2 linked regions of the Pelodiscus sinensis genome follow. The protein of the gene in region 2 interacts with the protein of the main gene of each other region in a pairwise test. Links are inferred from orthologs where the notes say so. Each region holds a gene or a part of one and is shown on either strand. Other genes may lie near its edges.

Region 1 (7,404 bases), on a different chromosome or scaffold from region 2:
GAGGGGGGCAGGCAGGGGGTACTACGGGCCAGATGCCAGGGAGGGGGACAGCAGGGGGTACTGCGGGCCAGATGCCTGGGAGGGGGGCAGGCAGGGGGTACTGCGGGCCAGATGCCGTGGGGAGGGGGGCAGGCAGGGGGTACTCCGGGCCAAGTGAGCTGGGTGCACAGCCTGGTTCAAAGCTCTAGCTAATTGGTTGGCGCTGGTAACAATCCCGCCAATAGGGCCGGGCGCCTGAGGGCGGAACCGAGGGGCTGGGGGGGGGGGGGGGGCGCTCAGAGAGCCGAGGGCAGTGAGCCGGCCCCACGGCAGCCCCACAGCCCCTTTGCCAGCCCCCCCGGCACGTACCCTGCCGCTGCTCTTCCTCGTCACTGGCGAACAGGGAGGCCAGGCTGTCCTTCCGCCGCGGGGCCACCTCCTCCGGCTACGGGGACAGGGGAGCGGCTGGGGCAAGCAGGGGCGTGGCTGGGCTCCCCCACCACAGCCCTAAACCCAGGCCCGGCCCCTCCCTGCCCAGAGCTTTGGTCAGCCAAGGGGGGACCTGGCCACAGTGCCCCCTAGGGTCCTCCCCCCATTCCAGCGGGGGAGCAGCCCCACCTCTCCTGCCCCCCAGCCTAAGGGACTCCGGGCCTCACCTGCTCCTCCTTGGGGTCGTACTGCTTCAGCTGGTTCATGAACTCCAGATGTTTCTTCTCTTCCTCCAGCTGCGCCACCATCTCCTCGCTCTGCTGCAGCCGCCGCTGGGTCCCCGCCAGCTCCTCCCGCAGCCACAGGTTCTCCTGGCAGAGCTGCTTGGCCTGCGCCCGCAGCTTCTGCTTCTCGGCCTCCAGCGCCCCGAGGTGGGACGCCAGCGCCACCAGCATCTGGCCAGGGCAGGGCCGGGCTCAGCAGGGAAACCTCCTCCCCTGCCAGGCCGGCCCCCTGAAGCTGCTGTAGCCAGGTGCTCCCCACCCCCAGTCGCTGCCCCCACAGCGCCTCCTGCTGGGAGAGCCAGGAGCTCCCCCCAGCCAGTGCCCCTGCCCTGCTCCCCACAGCGCCCCCTGCTGGGAGAGCCAGGAGCTCCCCCCCAGCCAGTGCCCCTGCCCTGCTCCCCACAGCGCCCCCTGCTGGGAGAGCCAGGAGCTCCCCCCCAGCCAGTGCCCCTGCCCTGCTCCCCACAGCGGCCTCTGCTGGGAGAGCCAGGAGCTCCCCCCCAGCCAGTGCCCCTGCCCTGCTCCCCACAGCGCCCCCTGCTGGGAGAGCCAGGAGCTCCCCCCCAGCCAGTGCCCCTGCCCTGCTCCCCACAGCGCCTCCTGCTGGGAGAGCCAGGAGCTCCCCCCCAGCCAGTGCCCCTGCCCTGCTCCCCACAGCGGCCCCTGCTGGGAGAGCCAGGAGCTCCCCCCCAGCCAGTGCCCCTGCCCTGCTCCCCACAGCGCCCCCTGCTGGGAGAGCCAGGAGCTCCCCCCCCAGCCAGTGCCCCTGCCCTGCTCCCCACAGCGCCCCCTGCTGGGAGAGCCAGGAGCTCCCCCCCAAGCCAGTGCCCCTGCCCTGCTCCCCACAGCGCCCCCTGCTGGGAGAGCCAGGAGCTCCCCCCCAGCCAGTGCCCCTGCCCTGCTCCCCACAGTGCCCTCTGCTGGGAGAGGCTGGGGCTGCAGCAGCCAGAAGCTCTTCCCCCTCCCCCAGCCAGCGCCCCCTGCTGGGAAGTGGGGCTAAAGCAGCTGGGACTCCCCCCAGCACCCCCTACTGGGACAGGCTGGGGCTGCAGGAGCTCCCCCCAGCCAGTGCCCCTGCCCTGCTCCCCACAGCGCCCCCTACTGGGAAAGGTGGGGCTGCAACAACCAGGGGCTCCCCGCCCCGGCTCCTGGAGCCAGCCGCCTTTCTACTGCCCTGGGGTGCTGGCCCAGCCCCGCCGGTACCTTTGCCTCGCCCAGCCCCAGCTCGATCCCCTCCAGCGACTTGCGGACCAGGTCGTACTTCTCCTCCAGGAGCTCCAGCACCTGGGGCCCCTCCGGCCCGGGGCCCTGAAGCAGGGCCGCCTCCAGCCGCCGCGCGATGCCCCGGTTCTCGCTCCGCAGCGCCTCCAGCCCCTTCAGCACCTGGCGCGTGCCAGCGACGATGTCATCGGCCGTCATCCTCGCCGGCTGGCTCTCGCCGGCCTCCGCCACCACGGACATGGCACGGCCGAGCCTGCGGGGAGCGGGCACCCTGAGCACGGCCGTTCCCCCGCCAGGGCGGTCCCTGCGCCCCTCTCCCTCCCAGCTCCCTGGAGCCAGGCCCGGCGCCCTTCTGCCCCTGGAGTGGGCAGGGGCCCTGCCCGAAAGGGGGCGCTCAGGGTGGGACAGGACGTGAGCTTTGATCCTTCCAAGGGTGGGATGCGGGGCTGAGTGGGGCTGGCAGGGAACGTGTAGCGCAGACGGGCGGGACGGGGCGCCCCAAGGCAGAGTCCACACAGGGGAGGAAGGGCCCCAGTCTGGGTGCCAGCTGGATGCTGCGTTCCCTCCCTTCCCGGAGAACCAGTCACACCAGCCTCGCACGGAGCAAGGGCACCTGGTGTGGCACAGAACCAAATTTGCCCAGGCGGGGCACACGCGGGAGCAACACGCCCCACCCGTGCACAAGCCCAAATGCACAAGGCACCGGGCACTCCCAGCCCGCACGTACCCAAACAGGGCACCCACAGCCTGGTGCGCACGGGCAGGGGAGCGCCAGCGGGACAGGCCCGGCACCCCCCTTCCCAGGTGTGCACACGCACGTACAAAAGTGCAACACGCAGCCTATGGCCCACCAGCAGGGCACGCGCGCGGCCCGTGCGCACACACGAACCGTGCACACGCAGGGTGCGCACACGGGGTTCCCGCGCGCAAACGCGCACCAGCCCCGGCAGGGCGCACGGACGCGCGTGGGGCTGCCCGCCCCGGGGAGCCCCCAACCCCGCCGGGACCCACCTGCCGGCCGGAACCTCCGACGTCTGCGCCGCGCCCGCCCGCCCCTGGCTCCGCGCTCACCTGCCGCTGCCATGGGCGGCACCCACAATGCACCGGGCTCCGCCCCCCCCCGGGCGGGGCCAGCTGGGGTGGGGTCGCCTGTGCTGCTCACCGTGGCGGCCCCCCCTGCAGAGCGCCCGGCCTCCTCCGCCCCCGAGCGTTAGCCCGGGGCCGTAACCACTAGGCCCCCCTTCCCCCGGAGCAGCCTTTGCTCTCCCTGCGGTGGTCGGGGGCCCACGAGGAGCTGCTGTGAGCTCGTGGGGCCCCGGCATGGCCCTGGGGCCGGCCACATCCTGCCATCGTGCGATCTAGCCCCCCCTCTCCTGGGGGCCACAGCGCAGAGGCTGGCCAGGGCCCTATGGGTCGGGGGTGGGGCAGGGACTAGCCCCAGGGCTGTGCCCTCTGCCCATGGTGGGGGGGGGGCTGGGAGCCGGGTTCTTGTGCCAGCTCCGTCCTGCCAGACTGCAGAGAGGCCTAGAGGGGCCCAAACGGAACAGGCCTGGGCCCGCCTGGGTGCCAGCCCCCGGCCACCTGCATCTAGCTCAGCCCCAATCCGGTGACACCCTCCCCCACCCCATGCTCCTCCAGCTCTCTGGCCAAGCCCCTTCTGGGGGGGCTGCTTCCTTTGCACGGCCAGACCATGCCCTTCACCGGGGCCTCTGGCCATGGGACGGCTTCTCCGGGACTCCCCTGAAAGGCAGAGGCTGCTGCTGGAGATGAGAAGTGGAGGAGTGGGAGGGAGAAATTGGGGGAGAGGGGATGGGGATGATGGGGGAAGGGAGCATCCGTCCGGCTACCACCAGCCCCCAGCTCAGTGCCAGTCCCGTGCCGGCCATTCCCAACCTCCGTCCGACCGATGCAGGAGAGTCGGCAGCCCCTTTCCCCCACAGCTTCAGCCTCCCGTGTGCCGTGGCGAGGGCCGGTGTGGGGCTGTGTAGGGCATCTCACCTGCAAACTGCAGCACTGTGGGTACCTACAGGGGTATCTCGGCGGTGCTGGCACACCAGGGCCTGTGGCCTGCTTTTTGGTTTGCAAGGCAATTGTCTTTGTGACTACCCCAAAAGCAGAGCTCGGGCTGTTTCTCTGCTTCCCCGACGGGAATGAGGGGGCTGGAGCCCTTCTGTGGGTACCAGGCCTCTTGTATTCCCTGCAGACGCCCAGGCCCTGCCGGCTGCTGGCCAACCCTTTGCCACCCACACCAAGGTGAAAGCAAGCAGGGGAAAGAGCTGGCAGGCTCCTGGATTGCCATAGGGTAGCACTGGTAAATGTCATGTGTCTGTCATGTGTCTGTCACTCTGCACTAGTTAGGCCTCAGCTGGAGTACTGTGTCCAGTTCTGGGCGCCACATTTCAAGAAAGATGTGGAGAAATTGGAAAGGGTACAGAGAAGAGCGACAAGAATGATTAAAGGTTTAGAGAACATGACCTGTGAAGCCAGGCTTCATGAACTGGGCTTGTTTAGTTTGGAAAAATGAAGATTAAGGGGGGACATGATAGCGGTTTTCAAATATCTAAAAGGGTGTCACAAGGAGGAAGGAGAAAATTTGTTCCTCTTGGTTTCTGAGGACAGGACAAGGAGTAATGGGCTTAAAGTGCAGCAGGGGAGGTTTAGATTGGACATTGGGTAAAAATTCCTAACTGTCAGGGTGGTCAAATGTTGGAATAAATTGCCAAGGGAGGTGGTGGAATCTCCCTCTCTGGAGATATTTAAGAACAGGTTAGATAGACATCTGTCAGGGATGGTGTAGACGGAGCTTGGTCCTGCCTTGAGGGCGGGGGGCTGGACTCGATGACCTCTCGAGGTCCCTTCCAGTCCTATTATTCTATGATTCTACGACTACCTGACCGACAGGTGTCTGTTCATTGGGGGCGAAGGGAGTGAACCCTGCCAGAAGGTCAGGAGGGAGCTGGGGTGCCCTTTTTGGATGCCTTTCCTAAACTGGGTGTTTCCGCTACAATGATCAGAAGCGAAACGGTTGTCCAGATAAATCTTGAAACTAGCCACGGAGGCGCGTGCCTGACCGGGCAAAGCCGTTCTGCGTCAATTACGCTGACAGGTAAGTTCAAGCAGTGAAATAGACGCCCTAGAATTTTTTATTCACGTGCTCGCCAAAGGGGAGTAAAAGAACCGCTTCCAACTTGTAGGATTTTGCCTTCAAACATCATTCGTTTTGGGGACTAATGACCCAGACGTGGTACAGCTGAATCCGAAAGACGGAAAGCTGCCGTTCCGTTCCGTAACCGAATGATTTGGGGATTCATAACTGTACACATGTTCCTTGCATGGCAATGGCAGCTGAAGGGGGGAAGCCATGTTCATGTTGCGAGCAAATCTTTTTCGCAAACTCTCATCGGCGTTGTCGGGACTTTTTTTCCCGGTGAAACACAAAGCTCACGATTTAAACCTTTCGCCCAGCGTATGCCGGTGTCAAAAGAGGCGCATTCCGCTCATTTCAGTGGCCGGATTGTTAGTGCGAAATGGGGAGTCTGGGGCCAATCAGGAAGTAGGACTTTATTTTGCACAAACCCACAGCCATCAATATAGAATCAATGTGTCATTTGGCTTCGCTGCACGCGTGCGAGAGGGCAGCATTGAAAGGGTTAACGCGTTCCTGCTCTGCCAATAAGCCTCGCGCTAGGGATGTAACATTTTGATTAATTGGCTAATCGAATAGTCGATGCAATTTACATCCCAGGGCTGTTGCTACACTTCAAAGCCGCAGCACCACATGGAGCCCAGGGTCAGCAGGGGAGACCCCAGCTGACCCTGGCTCCACGCGGCACTGCCACTTTGAAGCACCCCTTGTGACGGTGCGTTGGGGTCCCCCGTCTCCTGCACCCCGAAATGGCACAAACAGACTGCACCAGCCGGTGGAATAGAGGAAGTTTATTGCCTCTCCAGGATACAGCACAGCACAGATGTAGTCTGGTCACAGAGCTGGGCTAGGATGCCTCAGGCTCCCTTGAGTTGGGGGGAGACTGGGCCCCTAAACTCCAGCTCCTCTCCCTAGGCTGTCTCCTCCATGCTCCCAGACAGCCACCAACTCACTAACCAACTTCCAGCCCTGCCCCCCAGCCAGGGCAGCATTCCCCCTTCCTTTGTTCCTCTCCATGGGGGGTGTCTGGCCACTGGTTTGCATAGTGACTCATCCTGTTTTGCTGGGTCGTGGTACCCACGGCAGCCAGTGGGGGTTACCCCAGAGCCAGCAGCATAGAAACCAGCCAGGTACCCCCACTACGTCACACCCCTACCTCTTCCCCCCACTGGCTGCCTCTTTCTGATAGAGCATAGGTTCCCAAACTGGGGGGTGCACCCCCTGGGGGGGCATGAAAACATTCCAGGGGTGGGGGTGCAAGGCGACCGAACCCTCCCCCATCAATTTCCCCCCAAGAAAGAGCCCGATCCCTCCCGTAAAAAAAATCAGGGGAGGATGGAATGTCCCAGGTAGACTTCAAAATGGTCACCTTAAAAGGGCAAAGCCTGCTCTGCTCTTAAAAGGGCAACTTTTTTTTTTTTTTGCTCAACAAGTTTTGCTGCTATTTTTTGGGGGGGCCGTGAGGGTTTCTCAAAAATCAAAAAGGGGATGTGATGCTGAGAAGTTTAGGCACCACTGTGACAGGGAGCAATTAGGCGGCGAGTCGTTCACATCCCTGCCCCGCACCAAAAGGGATTTCAGTAACGGCGCTATGACTCACAGGTACTCAGCACCCCTGCAAATCGTACAGTGACTCAGATATGGATTTAGTTGCCTTATGCACCCAGATTTGAAAAATCAAGTCTCTTTTTTTTTTAAATGAAAAGCTCAAGGCCTCCTGGAATGATGCGCGACAGGTATAAACCAAAAAAACCCACCAACAACAAATGGTCTGGTAGCACTTTATAGACTAACAAAACATGTAGATGGGATCATGAGCTTTCGTGGGCACAATCCACTTCTTCAGATGACCGGAGTTATGAGTTTAGGATGTGTACACCCAAAATAAATAGGAGAGGGGAAGGGGAGAGGGGCGGGAAGAAAAAGGGAGGGGTAGGAGACAGCAAGCAGAGGGAATCGTCAGAATAAGTATCAGAAGATTAGCTAGTTAAACTGAAGCAGCTAAGAATCAAAGTCAATAGATAGACTCCCATGTCAGGAAGGATGCTACACCGAGAGCTGCTAAATTGGTCGTGTCCTAACCAACTTTCATCACCATCCAGTCCCTTAGCATGTGAACTGACTTTGCGGATGAACTCTAATTCTAATGCTGCCCTGTGGATCTGGCTTGTAGACCTGGTTTGTGACAAGACAGCTACTTGGGGCTCTTTTAAAGCAGCGGTTCCCAAAACTTTTGGCATCACGCCCCCTTTCTGATTGTTGAGAAACTCCCCCCCCCCCCCCATAGCAACAAAACTTGTTGAGCAAAAACAAAAAAGAAAGAAAAGAAAAGAAACTAATGGGAAG
Region 2 (7,113 bases):
CATTTTTATGTAAATGAAGCGGCCATTATTTAAATCGCCGCTTCATTTCCCTTTTTCGAGTACACTAATCTACATGACTCCGTCGACAGAGCCATGTAGTCTAGACGTACCCTGAGTGGGGTTGAAGGGCTGGCGAAAAGAAGGCTAGCCCCTGCCCCAGCCCCACCTCTTCCACGAGCACAGAGTTCCACTCCCACACCTGGTCCATAGGCTTGACAAGTCTGTTGGGGCCCCTGAGGAAGGACGTTGGTAGATTGAAGAGCAACACAAATGCTAAAAGATTTAAATACCTGAACTATGAGGGAAGATTTAAGAAATGAGGCATATTTAATCCTGAAAAAAGATGTCCAAGGGGAAACCTGTTATTTGCCTTTATTACAGTAAGGACTTTTATAAAGAGAAGAATGATCTACTAATTGTTGTCTATGTCCCCTGAGGGTAGAACAAGAAGCAAGGGACGCTGTCCCCTGCAAGGGAGATTTAGGTTAGCTATTAGGAAATCTTTATAACTATAAGGATACTGCAAAAGCGGCGAGGAGTCCTGTGGCACCTTATAGACTAATTTCAGTTAGTCTATAAGAGAGAATTCAGTTAGTCTATAAGGTGCCACAGGACTCCTCGCCGCTTTTGCAGATTCAGACTAACATGGCTACCCCTCTGATATAAGGATACTTTAACTCTGGAACAGGCTTCTAAGAAAGATTGTGAAATCACCATCCTTAGGGGTTGTTATGAACAGACTTGACAAACTCTTGTCAGATCTGTTCTAGATATACAGTGAAATTCCAATTGTCCGGCATCCAGTGGTCCGGCACCAACTGGAACCCGGAAGTGCTCCGACAGCTGTTTCAAGAAGTTGTTAGTCAATTACAGTACCTCCGGATGGATCCGCAGGTGACAGGCTCACAATTTATCTTTCCTCAACTGCCTCCGGTGGGGGCGGAGGGAGGGCGGAGGCTCGGTGGGGAACGGCGTGGCAAGGGGCAAACCCTCCGCTGTTTTGCAGGGAGGTAAAGCCTGTAAACAGCGGCGGCAGCAGCGAGGGGGCGAGAGGCAGGCAGCTGTTTCAAGAAGTTGTTAGTCAATTACAGCACCGCCGGGTGGATCTGCAGGTATTTGGTTATGCCTCAATGCTAGGGATACAAAATTCCATTTAATTGATTAACTGATTAAACATGTTGTTTAACCAATTAATGGATAAAAGGAGACTGTGGGAGGGGGTCACTCCAGGGTCGTACTGGCTGGAGTGGTCCCCCACCTACCGCTGGGCTGGAGCAGTCCCTTGCCTGTACTGCAGGGCATCCTGCAGGCAGGAATTTTCTGGCCACCCCTGCCTGGGGCAGGCCCACCTGCAGGGCTGAAACAGGTGGGGAGCTCCTCCAGCCTCCACCAGTTAACCTTAAACAGCAAAACTTTCATATCCCTGCTCAGTGCAGCCCTCCTCTTCTGTCATTCACATTAAACACTTTCAAACAGATTAGTTTTTGCCTTCTAAGTATCTAATATTTAATGAGACTGTCGGACGAGAAGTTTAGCTATTGCAACTTGCTGCCATAGGCAGGTGAAACAGCCTTGCCATTTCTTTAGAATTTGTTTCTAAAACATACTATGAGAAACTTTTTGGGGAAAGTAATATGTGCTTTCCTGGATGTCTGTTAAGCTATCCAACAAAAAAATTTTTATCATGCAACTAAGAGACCATAAAATGGAATAGAATAGAAACACAAATAAAGATAATTTTAAAGACTCCTCATCAATTTTTCTCCCACGATTCTCTCACCGCTGAAGATTAAGCAATCTTTGGAAAACAGGGACCACGTTCTCTTTTTGTACACTGGACTTCTCAGAAGAAGAGAAACAAAACATGCACGACCAGTTTGAGTTTCAGAGAGAAACAAACATTCAAGCCTGTTTACAGCTCAAGCATTTTTCTGCGAGCACCACCAACCAAGAACCTTTCCTTCTCCTAGGGTTGTATTTTCATGTGGCTGGTTGGTTTTCTTGCTGCCTCTGAATCTCTGCCAGTTCATTTTTTGCCTTCCCAGCTACTTGGTCAGAAAAACAGTACATAGTAGAACCACCTGCCCATATGGCCATATTTTCTCAGAAAATTCCATTTTGCATTTTATGTAGGCCTCTTTAATTTTGCCTTGTAGCAATCTTAAGCGAAGGACATGTTCACATACCAAATTCAACAAGGTTTTAACTCCACCCAGGTATTAAAGGAACTTACATTTCTTACAGGTACTGTCCTATAGCATGCCGGTTCCCTGCCAGCTCTTTAAATAGCTCTCTGCTGGCTTTTGCCACAGCTTAGCCAGTTCTTGCTGGAGCTGTGCACTAGCGTGCACCCCCCTTACTTTCACCTCTGACTCCACCCATAACAAGGTATATCCCATTTTACAACTGTAATAATATTTCCAATCCTAAATATTCATACTCATGAGTCAGAACCTCCAAATCATTTGTTTTTTAAATCCTGATTTATTACTACATGTCCCCAGAAAAGGGGACCAAAGCCTGAGCCCACCTGAGTCATACTGCCCTGGGCAGGTGGGGCAAAACCCAAGAGTTTCAGCCCCAAGGGGTGGAGGGAGCCTGTAACCTGAGTCCTACTACCCAAGGCTGAAACACTCAAACTTTGGCCCCAGGCAGTGGGACTTGGGTTTGGGTCCAAGGCCCAGCAAGTACTCGAACCTCTTTAATCTGGCAACTCTGGGAAATAGGGTATGCTGGATTAAAGATTTTGCTGGGCCAGAGAGGACACTGCGGGATCTGGACGTGAGGGGATGAGAATAGGGTGCTTACCTGCTGCCCTACTCCCAGGGGCACATGAAGCTCCATACTCCTCACCGCTTTTAGGCACCACCCCTTGCCATTATGGGAACAGAGGGCAGAAGCATCAGGGTAAGTGGCCCAGCATGCTGCTGTTCCCTCAACGGGTGGGAGACGATGTGGCAGTTCACAGAGCCAGTTTCTCCTCTGTACCATAGATGTTCCTGGATGACGGACACCCAGAATACAGAGGTTCAAGTGTATAACATCTGTCCTGGTGACCCCGTTAAAAGGGGGTCATGATTCACTTGGGGGGTCCCAACCCATATTCTGAGAACCGCAGACATAGGCATGAGTTATATGGATCCGTGCTGCCCAGACACCAGAAAGATTCCTGGTCACGGGTCAGGCTCCACTAAATTCAGAGCTGAATTTTTCGCAAGGCCCTGCCTGCAACCTCTCTCACATCCTCCTGGCCCATTTGCCACCCCCAGACAATTTAAAACTGCCCAGGAGCTCCTGCCATTAACACTGTCAGTGTAGTGGGGCTAGTGCTCATTCTATACAGTTGCCGGCATGTGTGTGTGGCCCCAGGGGTGGATGAGAGTTTTGCGGGGCCCAGGGCAGCACAATTTCTCCAGGCCCCCCTTTGGAGAAAAAAATGGAAAAAAGGCGTCAAATGCACAAATTGAAGGCTATTTTCATATTAAATGTGAATTGGGTAAATTTGATAGAAAATTAATTTAGTTGGATAATTTTTATTCTAATTATATTGTAATTCATTTTTAAACAAAATTCTGCATTAATAAAAAAAGAGGGGGATGTCCAAATGTTGAGCAAAAAAAGTCACCCCCCGCCACAAAAAAAAAATCATGGCACCTTTAAATCTCACACTCTCCACCCCATTCATGGCAGAGCAAGAATGTCCCAACTGGCTTTCCAGTTGAGAAAAACTGAAAATACCGGACATTTTACTGGTCCGGTATTTTCTGGGGGTTTACCACCTGATAGAAGCCACAAATACTGGACTGTCAGGGCCAATACCAGACACCGGGCAACCCTAGTCATAACTCGCGCCTGCATTTACAATAGGCCAAGGACATAAGTTGGGGGATTTTGGCCTCTTCCCCACTTCGGAAAAAGGTCATAATGGTGGTGGCAGGGGGAGGATCGTAAAGCGGGCTGTTATAAAGCAGGGGCCTCTGTATTTGTGGCAGGAGTGGGAAACCTCTCTTGGGTTAGGGGACACTGACTCTACAGAAAAATCAGCTGGGGATCACACAAACGGGCTGGGGACCAGCAGGCCTGGAGCGGATCTGGCCAGGGGTTTGGACTGTGCCCCAAGGCAGGGGATTGGGGTGCAGGGTCTGGGAGGAGGGTTATGTGGGTGAAGACGTGGGAGTGGCTGGGGGGGCCAGACACCTACCTAAAAGTGCTGCTCGCCCATTTCTCCCACAGGAGCTACCTGGCCATGTGCTCAGGGATTAAAAGCCTGAGGGGAGCAGTGATTGGTGGGTTCCCGCAGCTGCCATTGTCCAGGTCCAGCCAATGGGCTTGTGCGGGGGGGTGGAAGCAGCCCTGAGCGACCCTCCCCTGCTGGTTCACAGCTCCTGCACCACAAAGGGCCCCGCCGCGCTGTTCTGTTCTGTTTTGCGTGGGGGTGGGGCTGTTGCTGCCTTGCGGCCAGACCCGACCAGCATGGGGCTTGCGCGGGCTGCCTGTTGCAGTGGGGGCAGGGCTTGAGCTTCCAAAGCGCCACGTTGGGCTCCCTCGCGGGCCCCAGGCTGCCGATCCTGCTCTAAGCAGGGAGGATGAGAGGTTAAAAACACCGGCGCCAGCGCGGGGCCTATTAAAGCACGGGGCCTGGGGCAGCCGCCCCGCTCGCTCTGCCCTATATGTGCCGCTGTGTGGCCCTGTGTGGCCCCTGGGTGGGGGGGAGGGAGGAGGAGAGAGATGTAGCAGCGCACAGATCATGGAGCAACACACCTTCCCCTTCCTTGGCCAGAGTCTGCACACAACATCCATACTTCTTCCTGGAGGTTGCACCTCTTATCCCTGCCTGCACCCACATCCCCTACTGCACCAAACTCCCTCCCATAGCCTGAATTCCTACCCCTTGCCCCAGCCCAGAGCTAGCACCCAAGCAAGATAAAGGAGTTGACAACTCTATTATATAAATACATAGTAGGAAGCATACTCTATCCTGAATTGTTTAGAAACCAGTCAGACACAGAGGAGTTGGAAGCACAGGAATACACATGCATGGAAAGGTAAAGTGATTTGTCCAAAGCCACAAAGTAGGTCAGTGGCTGAGCCAGAAATAAAACTCAGGCATCCTGATTCCTCATCCTTGCCCTCTCTCCGCCCAACCCTTGCTATAACCCTGGGGATAGAGAAGGGAGAAGCACTGAAACTAGGTTTACGTTACTCGTAATTTCTCTGGCCCAACACCAAGGCAATTATGACCCAGTCCAACTCCAGCCCACGGGCAGATCTGTGCGCATTGCCTGCTGGGAGTTGTAGGCTTAATCAGACTACAAATCCCAGTGAACCTCGCAGCAGAGAGTGGCCGCCCAGCCCGATTCCCCGCCTCTTTGTCATTGTCATTGGTTTCAAGTTATGTCTCTGAAACGCGATTGGCTAAGGAGGCTTGTCTGTCAACAAGCGGGCACAGGAGGGGTTGGGATTTTACAGTTAGGCGAGGGGTGGGCGTGGTCGTTGAAGGATGGCGGGGAGGAGGAGAAGGCGGGCGGAGCCCCGGGCACAAGGGGGCGGGGCCTGTGTAGCTCGCTCTGGCTCCTGCGCTGGGTCTATCCGGCGCCGAGCTACCCCTGCCCGAGCGCCCTGCAGTCCCCGGGACGCGACTGTCGCGCTGCCCGCGCCTTGCCCTGGAAGCGGGAGCCGGGAGCCGCCCGCACCCCGAAGCCGAGCCGCCTGCGCCGGGACGTGGGAATCTCCCCGGCTGTGCGGCGATTGCAAACACGCCGCCCTGCCCCGCTTCCCTCCCCGTCGCTGCCGCCGCCGGACCCCGCGGGAAGAGGGGCCGACCAGGCTCCAGCCCGAACAAAGCTTCATACCCCCCTCGCCTGCCGGCTGCCGGCCCGCGCTGTCATGGTGTGGGGAGGCCGGGCCCCCCGTGCCCAGAACCGCGTCTGTCCGGAGAGGCGAGGCGCGTGGCGGCTCTAACGGCGAGAACTTCGACACCCGCGGGGGACGCCCGCGGGCTGGGGGTGCCCTCCATGGGCTGGGCCCGGGCTTTATTGTTCATCTCCAACCGCTGTTGCTGCTCCTGCACCACGAGGCAAAGTTGGTGAAGGTTGGGGCGCCCTGGAGCCGAGGGAGGATGGAGGAGAGAGAGGGCGAGGTGAGGTGGGATGGGTTGTGCAGCAGGGATGCCAGCACCAGAGATGCTGCCTTGGAAAACATCCGGCAGGCTGTTTTGAGGAGAACAGCCCAGGTCTCACCTGTAAAAGAGGATCTTCCTCCTGGGCCATCGGAAGGATGCTTGGCTTCTGCTACAGTTCCGGACAGATTGAATGAGATGCTGGCTCGCCTCCTCATGCTTTCCCAGAGATGCCCCTTTAGAAACGTCAGGGAGAAGAGTGAGTCTATTCTAAGCAGTGTTCAGGTAAGAGTCCCGGTGCCTCTTCCAACAAACAGCCCTCCTATTTCTTATCTCTGAAGCAGCTTAGAGTACCTCATATTTTTAATAGGCGTTATCTTGATGTAGAAAACAGTATAAAGATATAGTGCCTCTTCAGCTGTATCACAGGAAAGCTTTCGTTTTTGAACTGTACTCTCTAGAGTCTAGACTGTATTGTGGTGTTCAGTTCAGACTGATCACGTTAATATTAAACTGGCAGTAGAGCTAGTTTCTGAAGAACTTTATATAATTTGTCCTGAGACATAACTAACCAAAATACTGGCAAAGTTTATCTGTCAGAGGAGTGCATAACATCGATAAGGAAGTAATCTGCTTATAAAGAAGTAAGTGGTGTCCTCAGACATAATCAGCTCCCTTTGCAAGTGAATTCCTGTGCAAATTTTCACAATGAAATATGGGTTTATTGTTGGGGCACAAGTACATTCAGGAGAGCATATGCCCAAATTGTTATTTTAATATAATTGTCAGGTGTTACTAGGGTTGTGACTAAGTCAGTCTTATTAGTATAAAATCAAGACAGATTGTGTTGTCTGAGGCCAGAGACCCTGAAGAAAAAATGCAGCAAATGGTTCATGGATCCTGGCCCAGCCTATACTGCATTGCTTGGCAGCAGCACAGGGTTGCTGTGGCTATTTCAAGGGTTCACAGGTCTGGCCCCTGTCGGGGTAGCACCG

What was found.
Region 1: the proteins of CEP57L1 (region 2) and KLC3 interact in binary tests that used the Homo sapiens proteins (3 or more experiments, as listed by UniProt). The two-hybrid records come from large-scale screens. The link is inferred for Pelodiscus sinensis from reciprocal best matches to the Homo sapiens genes CEP57L1 and KLC3.

What each region holds. Positions count from the first base shown.
Region 1 is NW_027465849.1:7,074,094-7,081,497, reverse strand, and holds the start of KLC3 (kinesin light chain 3), read right to left. Parts: upstream 3,034-7,404; 5' UTR 2,925-3,033; intron 2,167-2,924; 5' UTR 2,154-2,166; coding exon 1,896-2,153; intron 864-1,895; coding exon 636-863; intron 425-635; coding exon 349-424; intron 1-348. UniProt on the Homo sapiens protein: Kinesin is a microtubule-associated force-producing protein that may play a role in organelle transport. Plays a role during spermiogenesis in the development of the sperm tail midpiece and in the normal function of spermatozoa.
Region 2 is NC_134713.1:77,741,484-77,748,596, reverse strand, and holds the start of CEP57L1 (centrosomal protein CEP57L1), read right to left. Parts: upstream 3,023-7,113; 5' UTR 2,992-3,022; coding exon 2,809-2,991; intron 1-2,808. Other genes in the region: SESN1 (sestrin-1), read left to right, coding at 6,119-6,403. UniProt on the Homo sapiens protein: Centrosomal protein which may be required for microtubule attachment to centrosomes.